Pelodiscus sinensis: one gene and its partners. The protein of the gene in region 4 binds, or shares a complex with, the protein of the main gene of each other region. Links are inferred from orthologs where the notes say so. Each region holds a gene or a part of one and is shown on either strand. Other genes may lie near its edges.

What was found.
Region 1: SPTSSA (region 4) and SPTLC1 share a complex: the UniProt entries of both Homo sapiens proteins name them as parts of the serine palmitoyltransferase (SPT) complex. The link is inferred for Pelodiscus sinensis from reciprocal best matches to the Homo sapiens genes SPTSSA and SPTLC1.
Region 2: SPTSSA (region 4) and SPTLC3 share a complex: the UniProt entries of both Homo sapiens proteins name them as parts of the serine palmitoyltransferase (SPT) complex. The link is inferred for Pelodiscus sinensis from reciprocal best matches to the Homo sapiens genes SPTSSA and SPTLC3.
Region 3: the proteins of SPTSSA (region 4) and SPTLC2 are in contact, whole or in part, in a cryo-EM structure (PDB 7K0K), measured with the Homo sapiens proteins. The link is inferred for Pelodiscus sinensis from reciprocal best matches to the Homo sapiens genes SPTSSA and SPTLC2. Residues at the interface, in NP_612145.2 of Homo sapiens: Trp15, Tyr18, Gln19, Leu21, Leu22, Val23, Thr24, Ala25, Tyr27, Met28, Leu29, Glu30, Pro31, Trp32, Glu33, Val36, Phe37; in NP_004854.1 of Homo sapiens: Leu73, Gly77, Val80, Leu81, Phe84, Leu87, Arg88, Leu91, Leu126, Arg129, Ile130, Tyr156, Met475, Pro476, Ala477, Lys478, Gly480, Ala481, Arg484, Glu485, Asp533, Leu534, Leu535, Gln536.

What each region holds. Positions count from the first base shown.
Region 1 is NC_134716.1:49,114,020-49,121,650, forward strand, and holds the start of SPTLC1 (serine palmitoyltransferase 1), read right to left. Parts: upstream 3,007-7,631; 5' UTR 2,992-3,006; coding exon 2,758-2,991; intron 1-2,757. UniProt on the Homo sapiens protein: Component of the serine palmitoyltransferase multisubunit enzyme (SPT) that catalyzes the initial and rate-limiting step in sphingolipid biosynthesis by condensing L-serine and activated acyl-CoA (most commonly palmitoyl-CoA) to form long-chain bases.
Region 2 is NC_134713.1:188,490,055-188,497,103, forward strand, and holds the start of SPTLC3 (serine palmitoyltransferase 3), read right to left. Parts: upstream 3,013-7,049; 5' UTR 2,727-3,012; coding exon 2,616-2,726; intron 1-2,615. UniProt on the Homo sapiens protein: Component of the serine palmitoyltransferase multisubunit enzyme (SPT) that catalyzes the initial and rate-limiting step in sphingolipid biosynthesis by condensing L-serine and activated acyl-CoA (most commonly palmitoyl-CoA) to form long-chain bases.
Region 3 is NC_134714.1:41,663,632-41,671,079, forward strand, and holds the start of SPTLC2 (serine palmitoyltransferase 2), read left to right. Parts: upstream 1-4,435; 5' UTR 4,436-4,544; coding exon 4,545-4,670; intron 4,671-5,523; exon of another isoform or gene 5,524-5,886; intron 5,887-7,448. UniProt on the Homo sapiens protein: Component of the serine palmitoyltransferase multisubunit enzyme (SPT) that catalyzes the initial and rate-limiting step in sphingolipid biosynthesis by condensing L-serine and activated acyl-CoA (most commonly palmitoyl-CoA) to form long-chain bases.
Region 4 is NC_134714.1:48,626,275-48,634,078, reverse strand, and holds the start of SPTSSA (serine palmitoyltransferase small subunit A), read right to left. Parts: upstream 3,003-7,804; 5' UTR 2,897-3,002; coding exon 2,794-2,896; intron 1-2,793. UniProt on the Homo sapiens protein: Component of the serine palmitoyltransferase multisubunit enzyme (SPT) that catalyzes the initial and rate-limiting step in sphingolipid biosynthesis by condensing L-serine and activated acyl-CoA (most commonly palmitoyl-CoA) to form long-chain bases.

The DNA of each region.
Region 1 (7,631 bases), on a different chromosome or scaffold from region 4:
TATTGCTAATAAGACAAGAAGTCCTTTTATTAGTTGCAAATTTCTTGCTTTTTAATTTGGCTGAATGTCACCTTGTACTTGGATCAGGGCATTCCTGATCTACTGTTAGTGTATCTCCAAGCCACTACTCATTCAATTTGTTCTTCTCTGAGCCCTGCTTACATCTCCAAGAAGTGAGCCAGGGCACTGATCGCCAGCTATCGCACCCTTAGACTGGTTCACTGCCCAATTCCCTGTGGGCAAAGCAATGGATTTCAGGAAGGCAGATTTTGGTAAGCTCAGAGAGCTGGTAGAGCCATGAGAAGCAAGACTAAAGGGAAAAACAACTGACAAGAGTTGCCAGTTTTTCAAAGGGACATTATTAAGGGCCCAAAAACAAGCTATTCCGCTGCATAGGAAAGACAGGAAGTACGGCAAAAGGTCACCTTGACTTAACCAGGAGATTTTGCATGATCTAAAAATAAAAAAGGAGTCAGAGTGGAAACTAGGACAAATTACAAAGGATGAATATAAACAATGCAGGTATGCAGGGAAAAGATTAGAAAAGCAAAGATACAAAACAAGCTCAAACTAACTACAGACAAAGAGAAACAAGACAAGATTCTATAAATATATTGGAAGCAAGAGGAAGACCAAGGACAGGGTAGTCCCACTGCTCAGTGAGGAGGGAGAAACAGTAACAAGAAACTTGGAAATGGAAGAGGTTAATTACTTCTTTGTTTCGTCTTTACCAAGAAGTCTGATGATGAAGGAATGCCTAACAGTGAATGCTAGTGGGGAAGAGGTAGGTTTAGAAGATAATAATAATAAAAAAAGAACAAGTTAAAAATCACTTAGAAAAGTTAGATGTCTGCAAGTCACTAGGGCCTGATAAAATGCATCCTAGAATACTCAAAGAACTGATAGAGATCTGAGCTTTTAGTTATCTTTGAAAAATCATGGAAGACAGGGGAAATTCCAGAAGGCTGGAAAAGGGCAAATATAGTGCCCATCTATAAAAAGAGAAGAACAGACCAGGAAACTACAGATCAGTCAGTTAAATTTCTGTGCCAGGAAAGATAATGGAGTAAGTTACTAAGGAATTTATCTGCAAATACCTGGAAGATAATAAGGTGATAGGGAACAACCAGCATGGATTTATAAAAAACAAATCATTTCAAACCAATCTGATAGCTTTCTTTGACAGGATAAGAAGTCTTGTGGATAAGGGAGAAGCAGTGGATATGGTATACCTAGACTCTAGTAAGGCACTTGATACAGTCTCACATGATATTCTTATCAATAGGGCTCGCTGAACCACAGCGAGCCCCGCTTGCCAGCCACGCTGTCCGGTGATCTGTGAATGTGCAGATCCTTCTGCGCATGCACAGATCGCCCAAACCCGGCTCTTCCAGGTTGCAATCTACTCACCACAGGCGAGTAGCTTGCATTATTTGTTGAGCCCTGCTTATCAATAAACTGGGCAAATAAAACTTAGATGGGGCTACTATAAGATGGGTGCATAACTGGCTGAATAATCACTCTCACAGTAGTTATTAACAGTTCACGATCCTGCTGGAAGGGCATAACAAGTGGGGTTCTGCAGGGGTCTGTTTTGGACCGGTTCTAGTCAATATCTTCATCAACGATTTAGATATTGGGATAGAGAGCATGCTTATTAAGTTTGCAGGGTTGCAACTACTTTGGAGGATAACTCAAAATGAGCTGGACAAATTGGAGAAATGGTCTGAAGTAAATTGGATGAAGTTTCATATAGACAAATGCAAAGTACTCCACTTAGGAAGGAACAATCAGTCTCACACATACAGAATGGGAAGCGACTGTCTAGGAAGGAATACTGAAGAAAGGGATCTAAGGGCTAGAGTGGACCACAAGCTAAATATGAGTCAACAGTGTGACTGTTGCAAAAAAACCAATCATAATTCTGGGATGCATTAACAGGAGTGTTGTGAGTAAAATACGAGTACTCATTCTTCCACTTGAAGCCTAATCAGAGTAGATGCGCTGATTAGGCCTCAAGTGGAGTACTGTGTCCAGTTCTGGGCACCATATTTCAAGAAAGTTGTGGAGAAATTGGAGAAGGTCCAAAGAGGAGCACAAGAATGATTGAAGATCTAAAAAGCATGACCCATGAAGGAAGACTGAAAGAACTGGGCTTGTTTAGTTTGGAAAGGAGAAGACTGAGAGGGGACATGATAGGGTCTTTGGTATCTAAAAGGGTGTCACAAGGAGAAGGGAGAAAAATTGTTCTCCTTGGCCTCTGAGGATAGGACAAGAAGCAGTGGGCTTAAACTGCAGCAAGGAAGGCTTAGGTTGGACATTAGGAAAAACTTCTTAACTGTCAGGGTGGTTAAACACTGGAATAAGTTGCCTCGGGAGGGTGTGGAATCCCCATCTCTGGAGATATTTAAGAGCAGGTTAGATAAAGGTCTATCAGGGAGGGTCTAGATGGCACCAGGTCCTGCCATGAGGGCAGGGGACTGGACTCTCCAGATCCCTTCCAGTTCTAGCGGTCTAGGATCCTAAGATCAGTTACACGAACCCACCATGCCCCAGCGCCAAGGAGATTCCTGAGCCGGGCCCCAACCACCACCCTCCATGCCCCTCCCCCAGCGTGCCCCGCTGCCAGACCCGCGCAACTTAAGAGGACCTGCCCACCCCCCAGGAAGCAGGGGGGCGGGGAGCTACTGCGCTCTCGGCCAAAGCAGCGCCCCCGCCGGTGCCACCAGCGCCCGCTCCCCAGGGCGGGAGTCTCACCTCATAGAAGGCCTGAACCATCTCCACCAGCACCCACTGCTGCCCCGTCCCCGCCGCCGCCATCGCCTGCGCCGCTTCCAGGCCGCGGCGCGCACTGACGTCAGCCGGCGCAGGCAGAACCGGGGGAGACGCTGATACGTCACTGAGCCGTGACCACGCCCTTCCCCGCCGCGCCCCCGAAACCCGCGTGTCGTTAAGCAAGGACCTGGGGAGGGGAAGGCGGGGCGGGGCCATTGGCCGCTGCGCGCGCGGGTCCTAGCGCCGCTGCGCTCGGCGCGCCCCACGGGCATAAATCGGCCCCTGGCCTCCTCCGTGCTCGCCGACAGGCCTGCGCAGCGCCTCTTGCGCACTGGGCAGGGCCGGCAACTGGCCGCGTTTGCTGCCTTTACCTGCGCGAGCAGCGGCCCCGCCTTCACTGGGGGCACCCGGGCCGTGACCCAGGGTCCTAGCGGTGCAAATTTCTGCCGAGGGCGGGTGTCAAGAGCTGTGAGGAATATACATTGTCCTCGTTTGTAATAGGGGGCTCGAGTCCCTGCTGGATCCGCTTTACGTGCGTGTCGCTAGTTCTGCGTAGTCCCTGACACATCACAATACACCTCTTTCATTTAAATAACCTCGTGACTGAATGTCTACAATAAACCAACTTCCTCCTTATGGTTAACACTGGTCTGTCCCTTAGTCTGTGTCCCGTGCGTGAGAGAGGGGGATAACGAAGCTCTGCGTGTAAGACAGAACAGGGGTACGAGCAGGGCTACTGCTGCCAATCAGTGACAGGACAACGTGCAGGAGAGACACGAAGAGCAGAGATGAGGGAAAATATTATGCATTGAAAGAAGAAAACACAACTGTCCTGATCCCAGAACTAGAGCAAAGAGATAGCCATGCTTAAGTACGCATTGCACCATGGGAGGAGGGAAAAGTTGAGGGCAGAGTGTTGGGAGGCGGCGTTCAATACAACAGTACCTGTAAGAAATTTAAGTGTCAGAGGATCAAAGCAGAGGATTAGAGTAAAGCAGGAGAGAGTCCTCAGAGCAGGAAAGTTTTGGGGCATTCAGGAATAAGGGCAGGGGGGATGTAGGAAGTGCAGGAATCTGGGCACACAAGCTGCACACTTTCTCCTTGATAGGGGAAGAAGAAAAGCAGCAGAGTTCCAGGTGCATGCAGCTGCAACCCCCCTCTAAAGGCTGCAGGTCAAGTCTAGGAGTTGGGGCAGCCATCAACAGGGGAGGAGGGACACACACCTTCAGCCAGATCCTTTCACCTGTCTGGTTGCCTGCTTCTTATCAAAGCATCCTGGAGGAGAGCTCCAGGAGCTGGTTGGGAGCCTCTGCAGCCAAGTGCCCCACCTTCTTTTTGCCAGAGCCCTGCACCGGGGCATGCTGCTTTTCACCTCTGGATTTGGGTCCCCCTGTGGCCGTAGGCCTGCAACGTGTGCCATGTCCTGCAAGCCACCTAGTTGTGCCCCGCTGAACACTATTTCTTTCTTTTTCATGGCGTTGGGGCAAATACTTGAAAACAGTTTCTAGGATTAGTTTTGTTCATTGTCACAAAATTCTTTTATTTAGAACACATTGGGTAATTACTAAACTTCCAAGAAAAGTTATATAAAATTATATGACTGGTTATTGAGCATTGTTCCCCCAAAGGTGCCACCTGCACAGGAACACACCAATAATTTGAGCCCCGCCCACCTCCTCACCAAAGCTGCACAGTGGCTGCTCAACTGTTCTGGGGTGTGAGGCTGCCCTGCCCAAGGAGCAGTAGGGCAGCTACCATGCAGGCCTGGCCCCAGAGCTGGAGCTGCGAGACACGTGGTGGGTGGCAGCTACTCCAGCATCTGGGGCTAGAGCCAGAGCTGCATGGCGGGTGACTGGCAGTTGCTCCTTCAGCAGTCCCAGCTGGGGCCAGGGCCAGAGCTGGGTCACAGGCACGCAGTGGCTGCTCCAGCAGCTGCAGCTGGGGCCAGAACTGGAGCCATGTGGTAGAGAACTGGTCTGGCAGATGTTCTGATGGCCCTATTGGGGCCAGAACCGGGGCGGCATGGTGGGGGGTCTGGGGTGCTCCAGCGGCCAGCGCCTGGTAGGGTCACGTGGCAGGGGTGCACTACCTGGGAGAGAGTCTTGGGGAACAGCGCCATTGGTTGCCACAGTGGCACACATCTGAACAAGTGCATATGACCTTGTTGGTGCAGCTGACAAAGCTCACTCTGCTCATGGATGGAAAATCTTAGAGGGAACACTGTTCTTGAGTAAATGTATTTGGCAGAAAGGCTAAAAGGACACTGTGCAGAATCTTTTCATTTCTGTTTTTCACAGTTTGATAAATGTGCCAGATGTTTCTTGACAAGCACTTACAAAACCAAATTTATTTACCGTCTCTCATCACCCTTCCCATAAACCTTGGCCCTCTTCAAACTGCAACGTCTCTCTATCACAACTTAATCAGTTCTAAGTAGCAGAATGATTTAATTGTACATGAAAATGTTAATGATACATATGTTGCGTTCTGTTATGCCACATTTGCTATGACATTGGTAATCCATCACTGATGATGATGACAATATTGTTGCAATTCTCATAGAATGCTATGGATATGACTCCACCAGGCTCATCAACAGAGGGAGTGAAGAGGACAATTGCCCCAGGGCCTGGTGATTCTCAAGGGCCCAGGGCTTGTGGCTGCCACCACTGCTACTGTGGCAGCAGCAGTTGCTGGACTCCTGGGCCTTTTAGAATTGCCATTAGAGTGCCACACCGCGTGCTCCATAAGGGGTGGGGTGGAGACTGGTCATCACATTGTAGCTCCCTCAATGGCTGTTCTGACACCTGCCCAATTGTTGGTTACTTTAATTGCTGTTGTCTCTGAAGATCTAATATATGGCAGGTTCCCCAACTTATAGCACATTTTAGTGACAATCATATAACACAATCTCCTAACTTCATATGCACCAAAGATTTGTTTCAGAGAGGTAGCTGTGTTAGTCTGTTTCAGCAAAAACAACAAGGAATCCAGTGGCAACTTAAAGATTAACAATTTTACTAGGGCTTAAGCTTTCATGAGTTGCAACTCACTTTGTCACATGCATGAAGTGAAAGAATCTGTATCCCTACCATCTGATTCTTTCACTTCATGTATCTGACACAGTGAGTTGCAACTCACAAAACCTTATGCCCTAATAAAATTGTTAGTCTTTAAGGTGCCACTGGATTCCTTATTGCTTTTACTAAAGAGACATATATTTAGATAAAACAATGGGTTTCAGCTGTTCATGAATTTTCCCCTAATATTGTACATGGCATGCTTTATATGCAAGATCGCAATTATATACAAAATAGGGAATAAGGGGGGGATACAAGGTGCCCCCCCGAGTTATATAGAGTGTCACGTTGCTCTTCAGATTATCTTTGAAGAGCTTATATGGAAAACCTTTCATTTGTCCAGATTCAGCTGCCCATACAATATCTGTTTTGGGAGACAGTGGTCTTCCATTCTGATGACATGGCCAGTCCTCCTAAGTTTGCTCACAGAGAGGCAACAAGGTGGGGGAGACAGGACCTTGTGGTTGCGGGAGCTGGCTTAAAAGTTGGTTTCGCCCCAGCACTGTCTCTGCAGTACCGCTCTGTCTGCCTCCTGCTGCCTCTATTACAGCCAGCGGGGAGAGAGGAGAGGTCTGAGGAAGGATAGGGGAGGTTGCTGCAAAGCAACAACAAATCTCGCATTGATCTGGGATGCTGCACCTCTACATTTCAAGTGCAGAGCCATAGTGCTGGTGGCTCCCGGAGCCGGCATGAGCCAGGACTGCTCAATTCCAGCTCAAGCTGGCTCCTGGAGCTACCCCCACTGTGGCTCTGCAGAGCGGTCCTTATCGACACATCACGTAATCGATACAATATGTATCAACTACACAATTAGCCAGATAACCTCAATTTAATATCCTTAGTGCCAGATGCTTCAGAGGGAATGAACAGAACAGGACAATTAATGAGTGATCCAACCCCTGTCATCCAGTCCCAGCTTCTTGCAATCAGAGGTTTAAGGTCACCTGGAGCCTATGGCTGCATCCCTGATCATATTGCCTAATAGTCATTGATGGACCTATCCTTTGTGAACTTATCTAATTCTTTTTTTAACCCAATTATACTTTTGACTTTAACAGCATCCCTGGCAATAAAATCTACAGGTTGACTGCATTGTATGAAGAAGTATTTCCTTATGTTTGTTTCAAACCTGCTGCCTATTAATTTCATTTGGTCATCCCTGATTCTTATGTTATGTGAAGGGGTAAATACCACTTGCATATTCATTTTCTCCATGCCGTTCATAATTTCATATCTTTCTTTAATTGTATCTTTTCAAAGATGAACAGTCCCGGTCATCATACAGAAGGTATGTCTACACAGCAACATTATTTTGAAATAACTAGCGTTATCAAATAACTTAGTCCATGTCTACACAGTAGGAAGTTATTTCAAAATAATTGTGAAATACTGTCAAACTGGAGGACTTCTTACTCCGACTCCTGTCACCCTCATTGTACAAGGAGTTAGGGAAGTCGGAGGAAGAGTACTCTATTTCAAAATAAGTGCTGTGTAGATTCTCCCAATTTTGAAATAAGCTATTTCAAAATAAGCTATGCAATTGACATAGCTCAATTTGCGAAACTTATTTCAAGTTAAGCCCTGTGGGGGGAGACACCCAAAATCTCATCCATATCCTTACTCATTTTTTGCACTTCTCTGTACCTTTTCCAGTTCTATTATATTTTTTGAAATGGGGGCAACAAGCACTGCATATCTCATTCAAGGTATGGGTGTATCATGGATTTCTAAAGTGGCATTACGATATTTTCTGAATTACTGTCTATCTCTTTTTTA
Region 2 (7,049 bases), on a different chromosome or scaffold from region 4:
TTTAGATTGGGGATAATGATTCTGTCCCACCCATGACCCATTTAAAACTGATAGTATTAGAACGCCGTCTCTTCACAGCAGCAGTGGCAGCCCCAGTGGTGCTGAGATGGGCACTTTGAATGGCTGCAGCCCTCAGAAACATTCACCAGTTGGTGGTGGAGCAACGGAAAATCCAGCCAGGACCTGACCCCAGGTTGGTTGGCTACAAGTGCAACAGGGATCTACCTCACTGGTGGTTTCTTGCTGGAGTGGAGCATCCGTCAAGGAAGGGTCAAATTTATCATCAGCAGAGGAAGCATTCCAGTGCTGGGTGGCTGTGGTGTCCCAGGACATGGTCCGAGAACTACAGCAACTGTGAGGTCCAACAGAACAAGAAACAGGAGGCCCAGGAAACCAAGAGGCAGAACCAGTGGCAGCCCTCTGTCAACTCAATCCCCCCCCAACAAAAAACACCCCGCACTCTCAAGCCTCCTCAACAGCAAAATGACTGACTAACCTCGCCATTTGGTATTTAAGGGTAATAATCCCCAACTTTTACAGATACATCAGATAACCAGACCGCCATGGCCCAGTGATTGTTTTGTTACTGTCACCCCAAGGACGTGCTTTTCCAGTTTTCTGGCTATATTCCTATTACAGGTTGGACCTCCCTTGTCCAGCACCCTCGGGTCCTAACCGGTCCTGAATGAGGGGATTTGACGGGCCAGGGAGGATCCTCCCAACATGGCCTGGGCTGTCCTGCTGCCCCTGGCTAGGGCTCCAGCCTAGCCGCATTGCTGCCTGGCCAGCTGTGGCTGCCTCTGGAATCAGAGCTCAACGGCTGGGGCCAGAGCTCTGGCATGGTTGGAGCCGCTGCTGTCCCCGAGCTCCACAACCAGGGCCAGAGTTCCGTGGCTGCCACTGCCCAGCCCCCATGACACCAGGCAGCAGGGGATAGAGCTCCCCACTGTGCCACCTGCCCTTCCTCACCCTGCCCCATAGCTCCTGGCTAAGTGTTTGGGCCCTCCCCCCGCTGCTCCTGCCCCACAGCCTGACCTCCCTATACCTGGGCTCTGTGGTCCAGGAACATTTGTGGTCCAGCAGGACCATGGCTGTTGCCAGTCGAGAGAGTCCCGGTTAAGGGAGGTAAACCTGTATTAATAGGTGTCAACTCTTTTTACGCCTCTGAATTTGCTTCTGTCACATTTTCTCATTCTTTGTCCAGCCACTTAACTACTTCTGGGGAGTGAGTCGCACCGCTCAGAATTTGCTCTCAATGCAAATAACACATTACATTAGAAATTGAAACAGGATTAGTTTTTAAAACAATATAATTGAAATTCACATTTGATTCACAGGAGCAAATTCCAAGAAATGGCTTTCCCTGTCATTGCACAAGTTTTTTTTCCTCTTTCACACTTGGGTTGGGCCAGCAACCAAGAGCCACTCATACTGGGGCCAGCACCCACTCACTTTTACATTGGGTGTGTGACTTAATGAGGATGATAAATGCATGAGCGTCTCATTGTGAAAAGACTTCTGTCTTAAGTTTCTTGATTTTCATGCATCTGAGACTGGCAATTTGGGTACTGTCATTGCCTAAAGCATTAGGCACAGGCCAAATTAGGAAAAAAAATACACCAGATACGCAATCAGACACAAGATTGTGTTGCTTACTGCTCCACTTCCCAAAGCACAACATTTAGCTCTTAAACTTTTTTCTATTCCCAACTGAAACTGGAGCTCAAATATGATATAGCCATCAATAGAGTCTCAAACCCAGCACAGTGTTGGTTTGAAGACCCAGTACATGTAGGATAACGATAGGCTCCACCCACAGACATCTTTTAAAGCTTAGTTCATGCAACCTGTTTAACAAGAGAACACCTGTGATTTTGACGTACCATCTGGGGGAAACCATGCACCTCTCATTAGGTGCCGGGAGGCACTCATGCAAATGAAAGGCTGTGGTTTCAAAGAGGCAAGTCACACATCAACATGTTGAAAGAATGGTCTGTGGACTAATTTGATTTTTAAGAACTACTAGCACTGTAAAATCAGTGTAAATAAAAAAAGATCAATTGTTAAGCCAGCTAAGCATACCTTGGTAAGATACACAGAATGCTAGGCATACACCAGTATAATCCCCAGGAAAATCAAGCTACAGACAACTACAAAAGCCACCTCTCTCCTTCCTCATTTTTCCTTCCTTATTTCTAAGTCACATGTGTGCAGTGTCAAATCATCATAAAAACACTCTACAAAAACTTTCTAAGAGGCTAAGCCAAGTTGTCAAACCAATACCAGCAAAATGATCAGGAAAGCTTTAGGGAACCTCAGCTGGAAGGTGTGTGTAGGATTTCTCTATTTCTAATATGAAATACCAACGTCTAGTTACATACAAGGCTTTCCTTGATAGTGCTTCTGCACCCATAACACTTCAGCCAACGATGCAGAGAATACAGGATTAGATCCTACGTGGGTAAAACTTAACAGAAAAACCAATACTATGCCACCCATTTGATGAAAAACGAAGACAGATTTTTACAAAGCTAGCTTATTACATACATTTGTAACTGCTCGTCTCAATGATTTCAGAGCTCAGGCAATGAAGGAAGAGGTTAGTTAAATCTTACCTTGACTTCTTTAGCAATCCCGTTTTTCTTATAGATTCCACTTATTAAGAGTTTATTCCGTTTCTGGTGAGAATGGAGATGTCCATTGCCGACTGCATTGGGGTTAGCCATTTGTTTAAATGATTAAGGATTCTCAGGTCTTAAAAATGTCTCAGGTGTTTCTACTTTTAAAAGGCAGAGGGATGAGATGATAAAGTTCTGAGTTGAGGCTTGAAAGGTATCCAACTGGTCTGTCTGGCTTTTCCAGGAAAGGAGGGACTATCTTTGTGCAAGATCAAAAACCAAACTGTTACCTTTATACTGTGTGAGCCCGAGTGAGGTAGAATGGCAGGTACATGTTAACAGGTCTGCTTTTAAAAAACTATGAAGTGTGCAGCTCACGCTGGTTACTGTATGAACACGGCACCTGAGTCAACAAGATTACTGCCGCTAGAAAGAAAGTGGGCGGATTCCAAGGTGGAGACGGTTAAAGATACACTGCCTCCTAAATAACTCCCCAGTACCAAACTTTTGTCCCTTGACACCACTTGGACGAGAGATAGATTATTATTCTGTTTGTGTGGATTACTAAAAGGCTGAAAGTTTAAAAAGTTTTAAAAAAAACCCACACAATTTTAAGGTTGCACTAAGACTTTTTACACTGGAACAAGCATGCTACCTTTTTCTTAAAACAAATACGATAGAAAATTTAAGAATATTAAGAAGGCAGTAATAGTTTCTAATGGAAAGCTATATATTTTGAATTTATACAAATCTTGATATCAGCCACCATTCGTATTGAAATAGGCCCAGTAACCAAAATCAGCAGAGATTTCTTTGGCCTTGATCCTGCAAACACTTATGCTATTTATCTACTACTGTTGAGTTGTCCTTTTGAAATCAAGGGAACTACTTACAGTAGTAAAGATAAGCAAATGCAGAGTGTTAGCATATGTGGGCCTCTATTAGAGGTTAGCACTTCCTTTTTTATATCTTCATGACCTAGATATTCTGATTCAAGTCCCTAGTCTTTATTCAGGAAAAATTTTGATGTAGTGAGACCTTTCTGGTATGGACTATTGTTATGTAGCACTGTGAGCCTAGGTCTCAGGTGCATTATTTTAGCCAACAATGGAATTAAACGGACTGCTATGCAATCAAATGACAAATAAATATTAAACAGTTTGTTACAGGTGGGCTTGAGCGGGTCTTATTTTTAAATGTAAGCCCCAAAACATTTATGCCTGTAAGCAGTAAATGGAATTCCTTATGTGCAGGCTTTCAGGATTGGGGCCTTTTGACTTTAAAGGGCACACTTGTGCTTAATGTCAAGCATGTGTCTTTGCAGAATCCGGGTCCTGTAGATTTTACTTACCCAGGTTTTCAAGATGCTTTTTTCCTATTAAGGGTTGCTTATCAGTTTGATTTTAGGAAGAGATCTTTATTGTATCTATGTCCTAACAACTAAAACTGCAACTTGGAGGATCTTAATTTTTCTGACTAAAGGAAAACTGCTTTATAATCTACATTTTGAAGTAAAGTTGGGTGAGGCTTTAATCTGCAAAAATGAGTGAAGTGTTTAAATAAAAAGTATAAAAGAAAATTGCTCTCTTGCCAGCAAATTATAGGTTGCAATATAGAAAATGAAACTCAGTATTTGACTCAAACACACAAAGGAAACTTTTCAAATTACCAGCATTTAAATGTTGAATTAACCAGATTTTAAATCTGGATTAGAAATTGTTTTTGCCAAATCTGAAATCTCTTGCCATGGTAATGTACTGAAATAAAACTGTATTTCCTCTCTGTCTGTCTGTCTCTTTTTAGAGAAGACTTGCAAAACAAAATAATTTAAAGGGGCTGAAACTGATTTTCTTCCAAATATATATATATATATATATATATATATATATATATATATATATATATATATATATATAATAAAGGTCTGAAAATGTGTTTTTTTCTTTTAGAAGTATCAGAAATGTCAAATCATCTCTTCCCTTATTTATTTAGTGTTGGAGGACTCAGAAGTGTGTATTTTAGAGTTTTTCTAGCTTTGAGTTGATTGATAGAAAGTGTTGTTGAATAATTTACAAAGATAATTTTTTTTTTCAAGGGTATTGTTGTTTTTTGTAAATTCCTAAATTTGCCCCCTAAAATTCGCTTCTCCCTTCAATGAAACAACTTGTACTTCTTGGTATGTCAGTATCCTCCAACTTCTCTAATTGTCCATAAAGTCTTCCAAGGTATTCAAAAGCTGTACAAAGATAAAAACCTTTTCAGGCCCTTTTAATTTATCAGAAAGGCAGCATAACAAACCACACTGCCAATTCAACCAATCCGCTTCTACACAAGTCTGAGGCCTGATTTTATCTTTTTTTAGTCCTTTGTGAGTAACCTTTGACCTACCTTCTCAGTATCAGTAAGATGTTAGCAGCCTTTTGTTGATGAAGATGACAGATTCACTCATTGTTATGGAGATACCAAAACAATGACAAGAGTTATTAAAAACTATATTGAAAATGTAATCACACAGTGAGTTGGTGTTAGGGTTAGAATTCAGGAGTTCCTGGCCTTTGACTCTTGCTCAGCCTACTAGACAACACTGCCTCATTTGTATATTAATCACAGTCTTTGCTAGACTCCATTAAGCCATTCAGTGACTGTGTGATGGGTTAGTTATTATGAGTGGGAAGTAATAGGCAAATAATGAAGGTTAGTTACAGTAAGGGATCGGGAGATGATAGTTGGGAAATAGATCTAGGTAAGGACAGACAGAAAGTAGGTGGGGTGAATGCCTAGTAATAGTGGTATCCTGTGGTTTGTTGGCATCACTAATGGAACGCTTATAAAATTAGGGATGACAAGAATGAATTCTATCTGGTCTCTCTGCACCTAACACACCTACCCAAAAAAGGCATGATGACCATTTCTTCATATTGGACTTATTCTTATGGTTTCTCAGTCTCCCAGTAAAGATGCTCTGTGAAAATGACTGACCACCTTCCGGTAAGAAACTATGCTATTTTTGGACACATCTTAGTAGCAGAAAGAAAGTGATTCAAGTATTCCTGAGCTTGCATATGCTGTTCTACTTTATGCTGGATCTAATACTCCTTATTTCTGTAGTTTTTGGGATGTAGGGCAGTAAGTGCCATGATTAGTTCATTCTCTCTCTTATCTCTGCCCCATGGGAGGGATGGATTTCCCCTTGAGATCTAAACTCCACTTTTAATCCTGAGTTGTAGGGTCTGTCCCTCAAAGATTTTTAGACTCCTAACTTCTATTGAAATCAACCTCTGAGGACCTGGGCCTAGTCCATGTTACCCATATGAGGGGCCTCAAAATGAGCCCAATATATCCCGTGAATTCTCAAGTAAAAATAAATAAGCTCCCTATATTAACTCCAGTGAATAATTCTGAGAAAAGGCAGAATGTTCAATTCATATTTCTGTACTATGTTTAGGAAAAAACAGATGACCTGGCTTCATCATATGGTGATGCTAATCTTTCTATTCCATTCTATAGTGTCCCTGGAAGTTGTTAAACAGAATCTACTAAATTTAGACATTTTTAAATTAGAAGGTCCACATAACTTGCATCCAAGAGTTTTAAAAGAGCTGGCTAAGGCACTTGATGAACTCTGAACCTTGATTTTTCAATAAGCTTATGCTGTGCCAATTTTTAAAAAGAGAAAATGGGATGGTATGAGTAATTATAGGTCTATCAGCTTGACATTGATCATGAGCAAGATATTGGAGCATCTGGGACTTGACTAATGCAGAATTAAAAAGAGGGTAAGGTAATTAATGCACATCACTAAGGGCTTATGGAAAATAGATCCTATAAAACTAACTGGATCTCTTTCTGAAGAAATTACAGATTTGGCCGATAAAGGTAATCGTGTTAATGTAAGGCTTTTGACTTGGTACCATGGAACATTCTGATTAAAAAACTAGAATGCTATAAAATGAACATGGCACACATTAAATGGATTAAAAACTGGCTAACTAGTAGCTCTCAAAATGTACCTGTAAATGTAGAGCAATAGGCAGTAATCTACATTAACAACAATCTGGTTACCATCTAGGGACCCAGTCCTGCAACAAACACTAAGGTTGTGTCTATGCAGAAAAGAAAAAAAGAAGACCCAGAGTATTGAGGAGAAGAGTCCCAGTCAGTTGTGACTTGGTCTTGCAGGGCTCAAAATAGCAATGCAGACTCATACTGGAACCCAGGCCCATTAGAATTGATGCTGGAGAGTGCTCCAACTGGTTCTGAAGGCCAGCAGGGGCAAGAGGTGGTGTGTCATCTGGGCAGCGCTGGGGGCTGGCTGCCCAGCTCTGCCCTTTCCGGATGAGGCCCCACCCCTTCTAGGAGTTTGGAGCCGCTCCCTCCCTAAATTATCCAAGGACTCAGCAATCCTGTCGGCTCCCTTGGATGAAATACATT
Region 3 (7,448 bases), about 7.0 Mb from region 4:
AGCTGCTACACCCAGGCAGCAGTAGCTGGACGAGGGGCTGGGCCAGGATCACCACAGCTGGATTGTGGCCTCCCCTCCTACCTGTGCTGTAGCAGGAGAGGGGCTACCACCGCCAGCCCTTCCTGCAGCCAAATGTGGGCCAGACTGCAGGCCTGTTCCAGGATTGGGGCGGGAGACAGGATGCTGCAGCTAAATGGGGCTGGGTACTTTTACTTTCTCATGTCAGTTTACTAAACTTAATTTTAAATAAAGTAAAATATTATGTTCAACACAAAAGGTTTGAACATTGTCTTTATTTACAGCAGGGGGAGGGATAGCTCAGTGGTTTGAGCATTGGTCCCCTAAACCTAGGGTTATAAGCTCAATCCTTGAGGAGACCATTTAGGGATTTGGGGCACATCTGTCAGGAATGGTACTTGGGTGTGCAGTGAGGGCAGGGGACTGGACTCAAAGTCCCTTCCAGGTCTATCACCCACAGAAAAATCAGTCAGGGACCACACAAATGAGAAGCAAAAAAACAACCCTTCCAAAAACTTCCCTCCCTCACTAATGTGGCCCTCAACTGAGATACCTCACTCAGATTTTGTGGCCTTCCCCTAGGCTCTGGGGTGGGGCCAAAATGAGGGGTCCACTCTGTTGAACAGCGCTGCCAGTGAGTGGGATGATAGGATCTGTGTGAGAAGCAGTGTGCTGTCTGACCGGGGTGTGTGCAGGAGTAGATGATGAGGCAGGGGTGCAAGATCTGGGTGGCACTTGCTTTTGTGACTTGTGCTGTTCTCAGGCAGTGGGAGAAGCCTCCAGGCAGCACATCTGGGTGCTGCTGTTCCCCCAGCTGCAGGAGTGGGAGTGCGCAGAGCCGTGAGTGGTTCTGCTTCTTCCCCAATCACACAGTGAGGCTCAGGGCTTTCTCCAGCCAGCCTGCCCTCCCATCCCTCCCCGCAGCAAGCTGGCACTGACTCCAATCTCGCAAGGAGTGCAAGGTTAGACTGCCAGCACGGGCTCCCCATTGCCGGGGGGAAAGCAGGGGGAACTGAGCTCAAGTTGCGAGCCATATTTGGCTCATAAGCCATAGGTTACCAAATCTGAATGTAATGAACAATTATTAATTATGTGATAGTGTGGCACTTCTTAAGGAGTGATAGGCCTCAGTTCAACTATGAGAAGTGCCAGTTATTTCTCCAGTGGGAGAAAATGAAGGTTATGTGGCTAGTAGGTTATGCATACCAATGGGGAGAGGGAAAAGTGGGCAGCTGCCCAGGGGCTTAGTGATTTAAAAGGGCCCAGGGTTCATGACTGCCATTACTGAAGGGCTGGCTGGGGGGAGGCAAGTCCCTCTTTGCCTCTCTGCTTGAGGCCCTACCTTTTCCAGGGGCACAGTGCCCCCCTTATCTTGCCCAGGGTCCTGATAAGTCTATTGTTTGCCCTGGGGTCAAGTGACCTTGTGACGGACTGGGCCGGGTCTGGGCACAGCCAAAGGCATCTGCTCAGGGCGAATTGCTCAAATTCAGGGCTCTCTATAGCCCCCAGACTGGAGATCTTCCCAAACAGGCCACAAACCAGACCCACAGAGTGCTTTAGCTGCCTGCCTGGCCAGCCAGAAGCCTCACGAACAAAACCCCTCTGACACTCCAGCAATATCCATGCCCCAGATGGCGCCGGGCCTCATACACAGGTGAGGGGTTTTAGAACCCAATCTCACCTTCTCCAAACAAGTTCTGTCCGGTTCCAAGAAAACAGCCACAGATTCCAGGTCTACTTGCACTCTGGACCTTACTCACAAGATCATGCTGAACCAATTATTTAGAATCTAAAGGTTTATTACTAAAAGAAAAGAAAGCATGAGAGTAAGGTTGTTAAAGTATCATGCATTACATGCATCGACTCTCCCAGGTCTCGATGCAGGCTTGTAGCAGAGATGTTATAACTGCTGGCTTAAAAGTCCTTGGTGTACATCCTATGTCACGATGGATCTACAGTTCTTCCCGGCTCGTGATTCCCTGCAAGGCTGCATCTGGGGTCAAGAGCAGATCTGAAGACCCCATGGAGGATGCCACATAGCCCCTATATACCTCCTTCCTCGTCTCTTCTTGGCTGCAGCAGGTTACCTGGCCAGAGGCCTATCCCTGTGTTCCCTGCTGGTAGCCCTTAGGTATCAGTCACCATTCTTGAGGTGTATCCTTGGCCTATAACGGGCTATTGTTCCATGGAGACTTGCTCATTAGCATGTCCATAGGCTGAGCTTCCTTGCCCATTGCTCAACCATATACAGAGAAACACACAAAGTACATGCTTACAACTTCTCACACAGACATTATACAATCACATGAATAGCATATATAGAATCAGTATAAGATAAGCTTTCATTTGACACCTCACATGACTCCTTTTGTACCACTTTTTGGGGCAACCCCCTCCCCCCCACGGGTGCAACAGTGATCTGGCTGCTCCCCTAAAATCCAGTAACGTGACAGACCTAATCAGTCTTCTTAGAAGGGAAGGCCCTGCAGCATAAAGGAACTCTGACTCAGCTGGGGAAGAAGGACTCTCTGTTTAAGAGAAAAGCGCCAGGGTATGTCTACACTAGCCCCCTAGTTCAAATTAGGGAGACTAATGTAGGCATTCGAAGTTGCAAATAAAGACCGGGATTTAAATAAGCCCTCATTACACGAGGTATAACAGTTAACTCAAACTAAGGACTTAGTTCGAGTTAACGTTTGACTGCCGCGTGTAGCTGCGGGCAGTTAGTTCGGACTAGGGGGATTTAAAAATGGCGCCCGGATGGAAAGATGCAAATAAAGCCTGGGATATTTAAATCCCGGGCTTCATTTGCAACATTGAATACCTACTTTAGCCTCCCTAATTCGAACTAGGGGGCTAGTGTAGACATACCCCCAGTGAATTGAAGTTGGAGCTTGGAAGGCTAAACTCCTGATTGGAGAGACAGAGAGATGGAACTCACTGTGACTTAGCTCAGGAAAGAGGGACTCAGAGGACTAATGTGTGAAAGGGCTCAATAAAGTGGACCTCAGAAGGTCAGTATTTTAATTATCTTTTGGATTATGATGTGGAGTGACAAGGAATCCAAAAAGGAAAACTGAGGCAGAGTAACCTTTGGCTGCAACACTAACAATTTTAAGAAATTACAAAGGAGATAGCTTCTGCTCTCAAATACGTGTGCGCAAACTTGGAATAACTTGTTTGCCTTCCATGAAATTATTCTAGATTTATACCCCCGTGACTGAAAGCAGAAAATGACCTAAACATTTTTAAATAGCATAGCCCTTCCCCTCTCAACTAAGGGCAGAAGAATCACAGATCAGGTTTTAGCTTAAGATATCATTTTCCCACCCATTATCCCAAATGCGTCTGATGAAGTGGGTCTTTACCCATGAAAGCTTACGCTCCAATAACTGTTAGTCTATAAGGTGTCACAGGACTCCTCATCGCTTTTGCAGATTCAGACTAACACAGCTACCCCTCTGATACTGGACACTATTATCCCAGTGTGTCCTCCAGCAAAACTGAAGACCCAAACCCAAATGTAAAATTACACATAAAAAATGCCATGTTTATGCCTTCTCTGTTCTTTAAGAAACAATAAAGGGTGAGCACAAGTGCTGACACTTTGCAGATCACTTTTTCTACAGAGTAATTTCTATTAAGCTTGGTGACCCCCAACTTCTGATTGGATTATTAGATTTATTCCCTCAAATACCATATTTCCTGTACTCTAATTTGGCCAATATTGATATATATTTTCTACATTCAGTCACAAGGTCTTGATTAGACTAGTAATAGAAATGTAGCCGTGTTAGTCTGGTGTAGCTGAAGCAAAATACAGGACTATTATACTAGAACTTCTAACCAACTTTGAAACTCTTTACAAACATATCAACAGGTAGGTTTTTCAACAAGCTTCATGTGGACAAAGAATTTAAACACGTTCACAACTTAATGTACAACCGCAGGTCCCAAAGAATAAATTTCTTCTGGGCTGCTGTTTGCAGGGGTTCTACCAGGAGCCAGCTAGGATGCAACACAAAGGCCGGCCGTGGGGGGCCAGCGGAGCTAGTGCATGAACGGCCCCGCCCCGCCCCAGGCACTTCGCCACTCTCCTTCAGCGAACCCGCCTTGCCTGCCACTGGCTAAAACCCATCCGCCCACCGGCTCTTCTAGCCTGTCATTGGTCAGGGCCTACCTCTAGATCCCGCCTTCCTCCCGATTCGCTGCCCTGTGATTGGGTATTTTATGGTCTTCTCTTCGGGCACCCTGGTTCTGTGCTGGGCCTCTCCGGGCCAGAATATTTGTGCGCTGGGATAGGGTATCTTGGTGACCCGCCCCTCCTGGCACACGGTCCTGTCATGGGGCCGCTCTCCTTTTGGCCACGCCCCTTTTTCCTTGGCCCTTGCCCTCTGTGTCACGGAAGCGCAGAGGCATTGGGTGTGGGCCCTGCCCCCGCTTGACGTAAACGCGTGTGATTGGCCACCGCGTCAGGCTGAGTTTCCGCTGCCGGGCAGGGGTGCGGGGGCGGCGGAGCCGGAGCGATGGAGCGGCCGGAGCAGCGCGCCGGGGAGCCCTGCTCCCACTTCCGCGCCAACGGCTGCAGCCTGACGGAACACGGGGCTCTGCGGAACGGATACGTGCGGGGCCTGCCCGGGGCCGAGACCCAGGTGTGGGGTCGGGGCAGCCGGGCGCGGTGCGAAGGGGCGGCCGGCCCCGGGGCTCCCCTGCGGGAGCGGGCGCGGGGTACCAGCTCTGCTGCCTCAGGGGTGGCTGGGGGCCAGCGGAGCCCGGCCCGGGTCGGGGCTCTTGGGCCTCCCGGCGCCGTAAGCAGGCAAACGGGCCGCGCCCCGCTAGGCTTCGCCGCTCGCGGGCTCTGCAGCGAATGGTGCCGGCTGCCAGGGGTCGCTCGGGCCCGCCTTGGCCTGGGCGAGACTCGGCCTTGTGGATGCCGCTACTAGGTGTGGCTGCGCGCATGGGACCTGGCCTGAGGCGCTGGCTGCCCCGCCGGCCCTGGCACCAGTGAAGCGGCTGCTCGCCCGCCTCACGGGGCGGGGCTGCAAGGGACCGAACCAGTTTCTTCTGTCACCCTTCAGGTGGCTCGAGGCTGCTCAGCCTTGCCGGCGAGAGGGACAGTGCTGTAGGGTGTGTGTTTGTCTAGGGTGGGCTGGGGAGGAGACTGCAGACAGCGCCAGAATGGCCCTCTCACTCAGCCCAATGCTCCATCTAACCTAGTGTCCTGTCTTTCAAGGGGAATTAATGGAATAAAGCATTTAAGAACTAATCCATCCCCTATATTTAGTTCCAGCTTCAGGCAGTCAGTAGTTTAAGGATACTCGGAGCCCCTTATTGGGTTGTCATCTCTGCTAAAAGTCATTGATGGATCTATTCTTTGGGATATACTTAATTCTTTTTTAAACCCAGTTATAATTTTTGCCTTCTCAACATTCCCTGGCAGTGAGTTCCAGAAGTTGACTGCTTAGTGTGTAGAAGTTGTTCCTTTTCTTTTAAAACTGCTGCTTATTAATTTAATTGGAATATCCTTGGTTTGTGTGACATGAAGAGGTAAATTATACTTCCTTATGTAACCCACACATCTAGTGGGTGTGGTTCACTGTCCTATGTAGTGACACTTAGACCACTTAACAGCAGAGTGAAAAGAATGTGTGAGCTCTACAGCCTAAGCTGAGAGCTGACTTTATAGCTCAAGATGTAGAGGTTCCTATACTAATCTCCAGCGGTCCCAGGTTCAAATAATCTGCCAGCAGGTGGTTACACTGACACACTTTCTCCACTCCATTCTTGATTTTACAGATCTTTGCAGTATCCTCACCAGTTGTATCTTCTGAGCTGAACAGTCTCTTAATCCAGAGATAGGCAACCGAGGTTAGTTAGTGGGCTGCATGAATAGCCATCTCAGTGGGCTGTAAGATTGTGGTAATCAAGTCTGTCTTCTGAAAAAGGGTAATTTTGCTAACTGAGCTTGCATATCTAGAATTTGCAGGATATGCCAATTGAACCATAGCACCACTTACATTGGATGCAGAGGGAGCCCAGGGGTTTCATGGTTAATGTGTGCAATCCGTATGCACCTTATTTTAAATGCCCTTGCTTTAAATGCTTGATGCTTTAGAAATACTGGGGGGGGGGGGGAACTACCCAGACAGAAATCATCAGAACTTGGCAATTCTGTGCATGTGCAATGGTAAACATAAAGTCTTGTGGGCCACATAAGAACCCTGATGGGCCACATGCAGCACACCATTGCGCTAATCACTTTTGTTTCCCTTCTCTGTAGGGTTTTTTTCCAATTCAAATACTCTCTTTTGAGATAGTGGGACCAGAATTGCACTCAGTATTCAAGGTGTGGGTGTACTATGGATTTACACAGCGGCATTATATTTTCTATCTTAAGGTACGTCTACAGTGCAAGGCTATTTTGGGATACCAGAGGTATCCCAAAATACCTACTTTGCATCTTTTGAACACGTCCCCTCTTGTGAAATATAGTGGACCTGCTATTTTGGCATCCCTGTAAACCTCGTTCCATAAGGGATGTCTCGAAATAGTGTGTTATTTCAAAATTTGGCACTGTATAGATGTGCCAAGTTTCGCAATAACCTATTTAGAAATACAATTGAAATAAGATACGCAATTTGTGTAGCACAAATTACATATCTTCTTTTGAGCTAAGGGTGCAGTGTAGACACACACTTAGTGTCTATTCCTTTCATAATGATTCCTAACTCTGTTAGCTTTTTTTTGACTACCACTGCACATTGATTAGATGTTTTCACAGACCTGTACATGATGATTCCAAGATCTTTCTTGAGTGTCAGCAGTTAATTTAGACCACATCATTTATATGTATAGTTGGGATTTTGCTTTGCAGTGGACGTTATTTTGCATTTATCAGCATTGAATTTTATCTCCCATTTTCTTGTCCAGTCACACAGTTTTGTGAGATCCCTTTGTAACTCTTCACAGTATCATCTACATGATTAGTCAGTAAGAGAAGGTTCTTAGAAGGAGCTACCTCTGCTGTGGCTCTGCAGTTTAAATGTAGTAAGAGCCAGGTCTGCAGGCAGCCTGCTGCAGAGCTAGTTCTTGGACCCACGGTGAGTGGAGACTGAGTCAGCCTTGCTCAGTCATGGCTCCTGCCAGGTCCAGTGGCTGCTGTCATTGGTGGAGGAGGTTCCCAGCAGGGCAGTGCTGCATGGAGCCTGGGGTCAGCTGCTTTGAGATGCTGAGGCAGCATTTCAAAGGGACAGTGCCACACAACTGAGCCGGGGCAATCAGCTGTGTGGTGCTGCCCCTTTGAAACGCCACCATGGCATACCCATTAGAAAGAGGCAGCGAGGGAGGGGAAGGATGTGATACTTCAAAGTGGCAGCGCCGCTTGAAGCCTGGGGCCAGATCCCAGACTCCACATGGTGTTACCTCTTTGA
Region 4 (7,804 bases):
TCACTTACATTCCTAGTACACACAGTAGGGATGTTAGATATCAGATAATTGAATAGCTGCATAACTATATGTAATCTTAGTGGTTACACCACTATATGATAGTTCCCAGAAGTGGGACTGGCAGCCAGTGCTCTCCCAGCCCCACTCCCAGGGAGCCCTCAGACTACCCCACACTGCCTCTATCAGAGGTAGCAGCGTGAGGTGATAGCAGCCCCTGTCCAAAGCAGATATGAGCTCCCCACAGACAGAGGCTGCTCCATGGGATGTGGAGCAGCCTCTGACAGTGGTGAGCTCGGACCCTCAATGGGCAGGGGCTGCTGCCACAAAGCAGCCGCTGCCCACAGCAAGCCAAGGCTCACCGCAGACAGAGGCTGCTCCGTGGGATACAAAGCATCCTCTATCCACAGGGCTTGCCTTCAACAGAGGCTGCTTCATGGCAGCCTCTCCTGCTGTCCCTTCTAACAGAAGCAGGAGCATGGGACGGGGGGCAGGTGGTACCACAGAGCCAGTGCTAGGGGGAACTAGATTTTAAGCCAACTCTCCCCAGCACCAGCTCTCCTCTTTGCTGTCTCGGATACTGAGGCAGCAAGGGGGGGGGGGAGAAATGCATGTAGTCAACAAGATTAACAGATAAGCCTAGGCTTATCAATTAATCGTATAGTCACCTACACGTTGATATCCCTAATACTCAGCAATTACTTCAATACAATAAAAAAATCCTGAAAATATCTGTCAAATCAATTTTAAATGCTACTTGCAGGAACTAGTGTTTCAGTTTGTAAACAAAATATGGACAAATACACACACCCTTCAGTTACTTATGTTTTGTCAGAATCAGAAGATTGCTTAACTGATAATGAAGTCAATGTTCAAGCCTAATTACTCTGACAAATCATAACACTCCTGAAGTATAGAAAATAAAGATCTTTCTTCACTGATACTGGACCTGGCATAAATGGAGCCAGGAATTATTACAAAAGTATAGACTACCTAACTTGAGAAATTCAACATACTACATGAATGTACATGAACATGAATGTTCAAGTCCATTCATTTGTTCTGTATGCTTTCCATTTTTTACCATTACTGTAGAAAAAAAATTACCTGAAGCTCAAATAGTCCATATAGTAATAGAGATGTAGCTGTGTTTACTAACAGCAGATATTTTCTTTACAACAGACCATTACCCCAACAAGGACATCATTATTGTTACTACCACCCTATTCTCTTTGTTATCGGTTACATTAATTTATTTCTTCTCCTGTCAGTGCTCCTTGCAAGTACTTTTAAAGGTCATCTGCAAATATGGCTGCAAATATGAGGTATTGTTTTAACAGATCAAATTATCACATTCAGAATAGAAAGGCACTGGAGAGTCAAACCCCGAAGACATTATCTTATAGAAACAACTACTCAATTAAACAATTTTCTAGATATAGGTCTCTACATTGAACCTTCATATTAGCAGTCTATTTTGTAGTGAAATACATAAAACGGGCAAATTCAGCAGCTACAGGGTCAGTAAACTAAAGACCAAGCAAAATGGAAACCTAGAGTTGCATGACTATGCAACATATATAAGTTACTTTGCTTGTTACATGAAATACACGTTTTCCTTTCAAGTGTGCAAAATATGAAGAAATACATGAAGTACTTTTGGCTAATAAAAACATTAATTCCTCAGGTTAACACACAGAAAAAAATCGCATAATAAAAAAAAATGAAAGGAGAAATTGCATCAAGACAAAAACCCATCTCTGACTCAAATGAATTAAACTGCTAAATGGATAGAAGAGGTATAAATCCAAAAAGAGGCCTGTGAAAGTTTAAGCTAGACAGATACTGGATACACCTTACTTCTTTCTAAAAGATACTCTGTTGCTTGCTCTCACAGCTGGCAGCACTTGTTAGTCTGTTGTAACAATACAGATAGTGAATATGAATGTGATTTTAACAAGCAAAGAGCGAACATATTCCTCACACATGGGCCAAAAGAAATAGTACCACATTAACCATTATACACTTTGCACCACTGACACGTTCAAAAACTAGTGTAGTTATAACGGCAACTATCTGACATGATTAAATCATCAACTCATACAGACCAAGAGAACTCTTGAGTTTTTAAACTACCAGCATACAGGGGGGTTAGCCAGTGTAGCTATGTGAACAAGGGCCTACCACCTCCCAAAAATCACTTAAAGGCATAAACCATACACCTGCCAAGAGTGTGTTATCGGGCCCATTTTACAGACAGGAAGGGGCACACCAGGCACTCAACATCAGAGAAGTGCTCCAAGGCATTCAGAGCACCTGGGAACACAGAATCAAACCCAGACCTCCCAAGTCACAGCCCGGTGCCTTGACCTCACAGCATTCTTCGGACGCGGGCTGCAGGGACAGCAGAGCAGCCTGCGCAGGGAAGAGGCCAGACCCACCTATTGCCACCCGCAAGCACCTCTCGCAGCTTGGCTGAGGCCGAGCCACACCCCGCGGCGCTCCCACCGCTGAGTGCGCAGAGAAGCACGCGAAGGCTCACAGCTTGGACAGCAGCAGAGCAGCCACTCGGGTCCAGCTCCCGCCCGAAGCGGAGCAGCAGGCCCTAGACAAGCCACTGCTGCGCCCCGAGCCCGCCCCCTCCCCACGCGGGGCCATCACCCCTCCCCCGCACCTCCGCCTCACTCCCCTTAGAGGCCAGCCACGTGCTACGCCCCCTCCCCGGCCGGCTCACTATCCTCCGGCGCGCGCTGCCGCTCAGTTAACGGAACCCAGGCCCGGGCCGCGGAAGGATACTGAAGACCGTCCGCTCCCAGGGCTCCAGCATGTAGAGCGCGGTGACGAGCAGATACTGGTAATAGAGCCACGACACCCGCCCCCAGGCCGAGCCTAGCGCCATTGCCGGACCTGTCTGCGTGCGGCGTGCGAGGCCCCGCAACCTGACTGAGCCCGCTCTGAGTAGGCGGGGAACGTCTCCCACCTGCGCCCCAGGCTACTCTCATGGTACTGAGCATGCGCTTGTGAACTGAGCATGCTCAGTAACAGCTGTTCGGAACGGCCCCCTTGTGGGGTGACCACGTGCGCCCTGCTTCTGACTGGCTTGCTGCGCAGCCAGAGGGGCGGGGGTGACAGTTACCCAATGGGGATGAGCCCTCTGCTGCGGCTGGAAAAAAAAAAAAGCAATGGGGGCGGAGGAGATCCCCGCTCTCGCATCTCATCACGTGCTTCCCAGGACTGTGCCCTTAAGGGTACAGTGCACAGCAGAGGAACTGGTGCCTCCAATGGAGCTGTTAAAACAGGTTTGAGTCAGTGAAGTATTCTACATACGATAACTGTCAATGTTTAAAAGACTCTCTCGCGCATGTATTTATATGCCCCTCTAACACCTCATAGCTGCAGCAGGGAACATATTTGGCTTGTCTTTTGTTCAGATTGTTGGACTGGACTGCAGTTTTCTTGCAATGCACTGTTAAATGGCGTTTTGCTCCTTTATTTACTTTTTGAAAGCATATTTTTATTACTCTTAACACTTCATTCACTGTTACCATTGCGCAGATGAACGTCAATAGATATTTTTAATAGCAATCATTGGAAATTTAACAGTCGTTAGTAGCTTCCACAATCACATCTGACGAAGTGGGTCTTTGCCCACGAAAGCTTACACTCCAATAAATCTGTTAGTCTATAAGGTGCCACAGGACTTCTCGTTGTTCTCACATATCACAGTAATTCTGCACCTCTTGTTTGTATTGAAATATTAGGTTATTTACATTTTGGTTCTTTTTCATCTTTTATGTAAAGGTTTATTTTTTTGGATCACATGATTTCAAAGCTGACAGATGGTTTGATGTCAAAACTTCAGTTTTCTTTGAGCCTAAGTTTTCTTTGAGCACTAGGAGCCTATAATTTTGCCTCCTAGAGCATACAAGTCACCTCAAACAACTGCAACTCAAAGTTTTGACCCTAGTTAGTAAACAAGGAGTGAGGCATACCATATTGGTACACAAATTAAAATGTATCATTAAAAATTGTATTTCTTGGTAGGGTAGTATACCCTGGCCAGCATACTCTGCTGAGTGATAAGGTGTAGTCCTTGGCTCCTTTCTATGGGTTCATTGTACAGCTCATGTCCCATGATGGGGCCATCAAGCAAGCCCAGTGCTGATGCCAGTCTGCCTGGGTGCAGAAATACAGCACAAGTTTGGAAAATAGATATACTATACATATCTATAAGTCCTGTTTGTACAAAGAGGTACAAACATACAAATGAAATTGACAGGAAAGCTGGCTCCTAGCTCCCTAGACAGACTGCTGCTAGATCTCTGCTCCAAGTTGGGCTCCTATCCCGGCTCCCATGCAGGCTCCCCACTCCTAACAGAGAGCTCTGCTGCCTGAGTTCCTGGCTCCTCACTCCTCACCAGCATCACAGCTGTCAACTGGACTCTAGGTGCAGATCTTCCTACCAAAAGGGAGAAGCCCCTAGTGGCTCCTGGCTAGGAATCAGGAGGTGAAAAGCCATGTGGTGTTGCCCCCTGGTGACAGCAGGAAAGCAAGAAGCCCAGGCAGCCGAACTCCTGATCTGCTCTTCAGTTGATGGAAGAATCACTGGTGGAGATGCACACTACCAACAGGTGGGTAACGTGTACCTCAGTCACCACAATATAATTAATGCAGTAGCTGTAAATTGACGTAACATAGGTCGATTTAAGATTACAGTGTGGACATAGCCTTCATCTCATGCACATATTTTACATTGTTTACCACTGAGATGGATTTGGGTTTTACTTTTAGTTTTCACTGTTAAACTTGAGACATTTTTGGCAAAAGTCTACATATTCTGCATTGAGAGGACAGCAATTACTAGAATAGAATTACCCTGCTTAAGATGTTCAACTGCTCCTCTGCCAGCAAGATTTACTCTTCCCTCTGAGACTCAAACTGTCATAATCCTTTTCCAGCTGGAATTCTGCTACTATAATCAATCAGTGTTGCTATTTGACAAAGTAGATTTCTAACACTTCAAGACTACTAGAAAATGCTGAATTTTACTGGAAACTGCCAAATGATTGCTGCTGTGTGCATTTCACAAAAAGCTTGCAACATTAAACATCTTTGCATTCCAGTAAATAGAGGCCATATTTGCACCATCATCTCTTGAAAGAAGTTTCCCTAAAATTCATAGGATAAAAGGGTGAAACTTGTGCTAAATTATTTTCCCTTAAGGTTGAATAAATTATTTCATTTTTTATAAATGAAAAGTTTATTTACAAAATAGAAAGTAAGTCTACAGTACAAAAAACTCATTTCTAATCTGACTGAATAGCTTCATATATAGAGATACCTCTATGAACAATGTGAAGTCAAACCATAGGATTTTATTTATTTTAGCAGTAGCTGGAGTTGTAATACATAGTACAATTTGATGTGGAACACCATTTGATATTTTAATATTATGAAGATAATGCAATTACACAACACTATATTTTAACTAGTTACTTTGTCACTCATGGCAGTCTGCATATTCAAATACAGCTGGACTTTGAACATAGCTGTAAAGTTAATTTCTTTTAACTGCCATTTGTCAACATATTTACACTTCTAACATTAATTCCCACCCCCCTTTAGACTGTGTTTTACAGAACTAAAACTCCAAGATGTGCTTCTTTGCACATAGGCCCTACTGTCTCAAAATACATATGCTCCTTTAGAAAGAATTTGGGTGACAGAATTCTTCCCTCACCATACCCATTACCCTAGCCCAGAAATAGTTTTGAAGAACACATGAGCCTTGCATTGTGAATTGAAGTTGAACAGATTGAGTCTCTGGTGAACTAATGGGGAAAGAGAATTCTGTAGCCAATGATACCTCTCTGAAAATGGCCTGACTGAGCCCCTTCATGATTAACCAAGGAATTGTGAGTTTGAGAGCCTCAGATAATCTCAGTTGGCATGGTATTACAAAGGGGGGGGACCAGCGAAAACCTGAGGTAACCAGGCCTGACCCAATAAAAGACCTAGTTTAAACCAGCATCTTATAATACTCCCAGCAGTATTACCTTCTGGACCATCTGAAGTATGAGTGATCGAGAGGCAAGGTAGGTGAGGTAATATCTTTTATTGGACCAACTTCAGTTGGTGACACAAGCTTTCAAGATCTGTATAAGCTCAAAATCTTGTGTCTCTCACCAACAAAAAAGAGACCAACAGAAGATGGCCCAATAAAATATAACATCTCACCAATGTTCCCACTATTTTTTCCAGCTGTGTGGAATAATTTTTGTTATATGCACCAAAGCATATGCAGATGTGCATCACAAGTAGAAACACATGCTCTTGTCAGTGGGTACTCTGCTAATCAGCTGGGCAGCATTTGAATCTCTCCTGGTTAGCAACCCAAGTGCACAGCTTACAGGAAACACTGCATCTGATCCACCTTGCTTCTCTAATATTCTAGTTTAGCTGTTTAATTCTGTGCAAAGCTCATTGCAGTAATACCAAAATGATAAAGCCATGGATCACTGTGGCAAGATCCACATCTGAAACAAACAGCAGCTGCCTTTTGGACAAGCATAGGTAATACTCTAGGTCAAAATCAGCAGAGGATCCATAAGAACTGTCTAAGGGAGCTCTTTTAAGTGTCAGTCACATGTCTTCACCACAGTTTCCCTTCCAGTTTCTTTCCAGGTTTGTACAGTTGCTGAGGCAGTGTGAAAATAACACACACTTTTTGGTAACCTCTCTGTATTAAAGTAGTCCATTTTGACCTTCAAGCTCTGTAGTTTGTTAGCCATTTCCTTGGCCAACAATTCCTTTGCCCTATTGGGCAGGGATAACAATGGGGCAGAGTAGTGAGGGTGAAAAGAAATCCTGAGACTCAGCCCCTGGATAAATGCATGTGTAACTCACACGCCAATGTCACTCTGCTCATGTGTGCCTGTGTCTCTTCCCTCTCTGACTATCTTCATCTTGTCCTGCTCTTCATCTTGAACCTGTCTCCACTCCTCCACCCTTGTAGCTTGTTTCCCAGCTTTCTGTCTGTCACCCTGGAAAGACCAAATTAGGACTTAACTCCATGCCAGTCACTTCAAATTCTGCTCCAGGCTCACCTTATGGAGTTCTAGCAGAGACATGATTTCTGTCCAGAACTACATTTCCTAGAAATTCTCTTTATGAGAGGGCCAAATCCCCACCACCAGTTGGGCTCATGGCACCCATTCTTAAGAGGGCCAGAATGCCCCAATACAAAATTCCAGATTTCTTCATCAAATAAAATAAACGAACATAAATATTGTATGGCTATACTAGTGTTTCTCAAACACGTTGTGGGCCCCAGGGAAATGACTAAAGGCAATGTAAGAGGCTGTAGCATTGAAAATGTGATTCATCTAATACAAAGAAAATCTCAATCCCTGTCCACATTTATCCTTCAAAGTCAAATATTCTGTTAACTTCTCAAAATACATATATTAATTATAAAGGCTTATAATTCAAGCTTTTTTCTCTCACTTTCATAAGTAAACATAAATAGGCAATGAAAATATTTTACTCTCAGTGAGTCACCAATCTGAAAACTTTGAGAAATACCGATAACAATGGCAACAGAAAAAATGCTATTAGGTAATCAAAAGCAAGAGGTTAGCTTCTGGGAGTCTGCTTTGTCAAGTAGACTAACCATTAACTTGACAGTGACTTTGTATTCTGTTTGACAAAAAGTCCAAACTACCCTATAAAAAGCCATTAGTTGCTTCCATAAAATAATTATCAGTCTCCTAAACAAAGAGGAAAAAACAAACAAGCTATTTGGCAA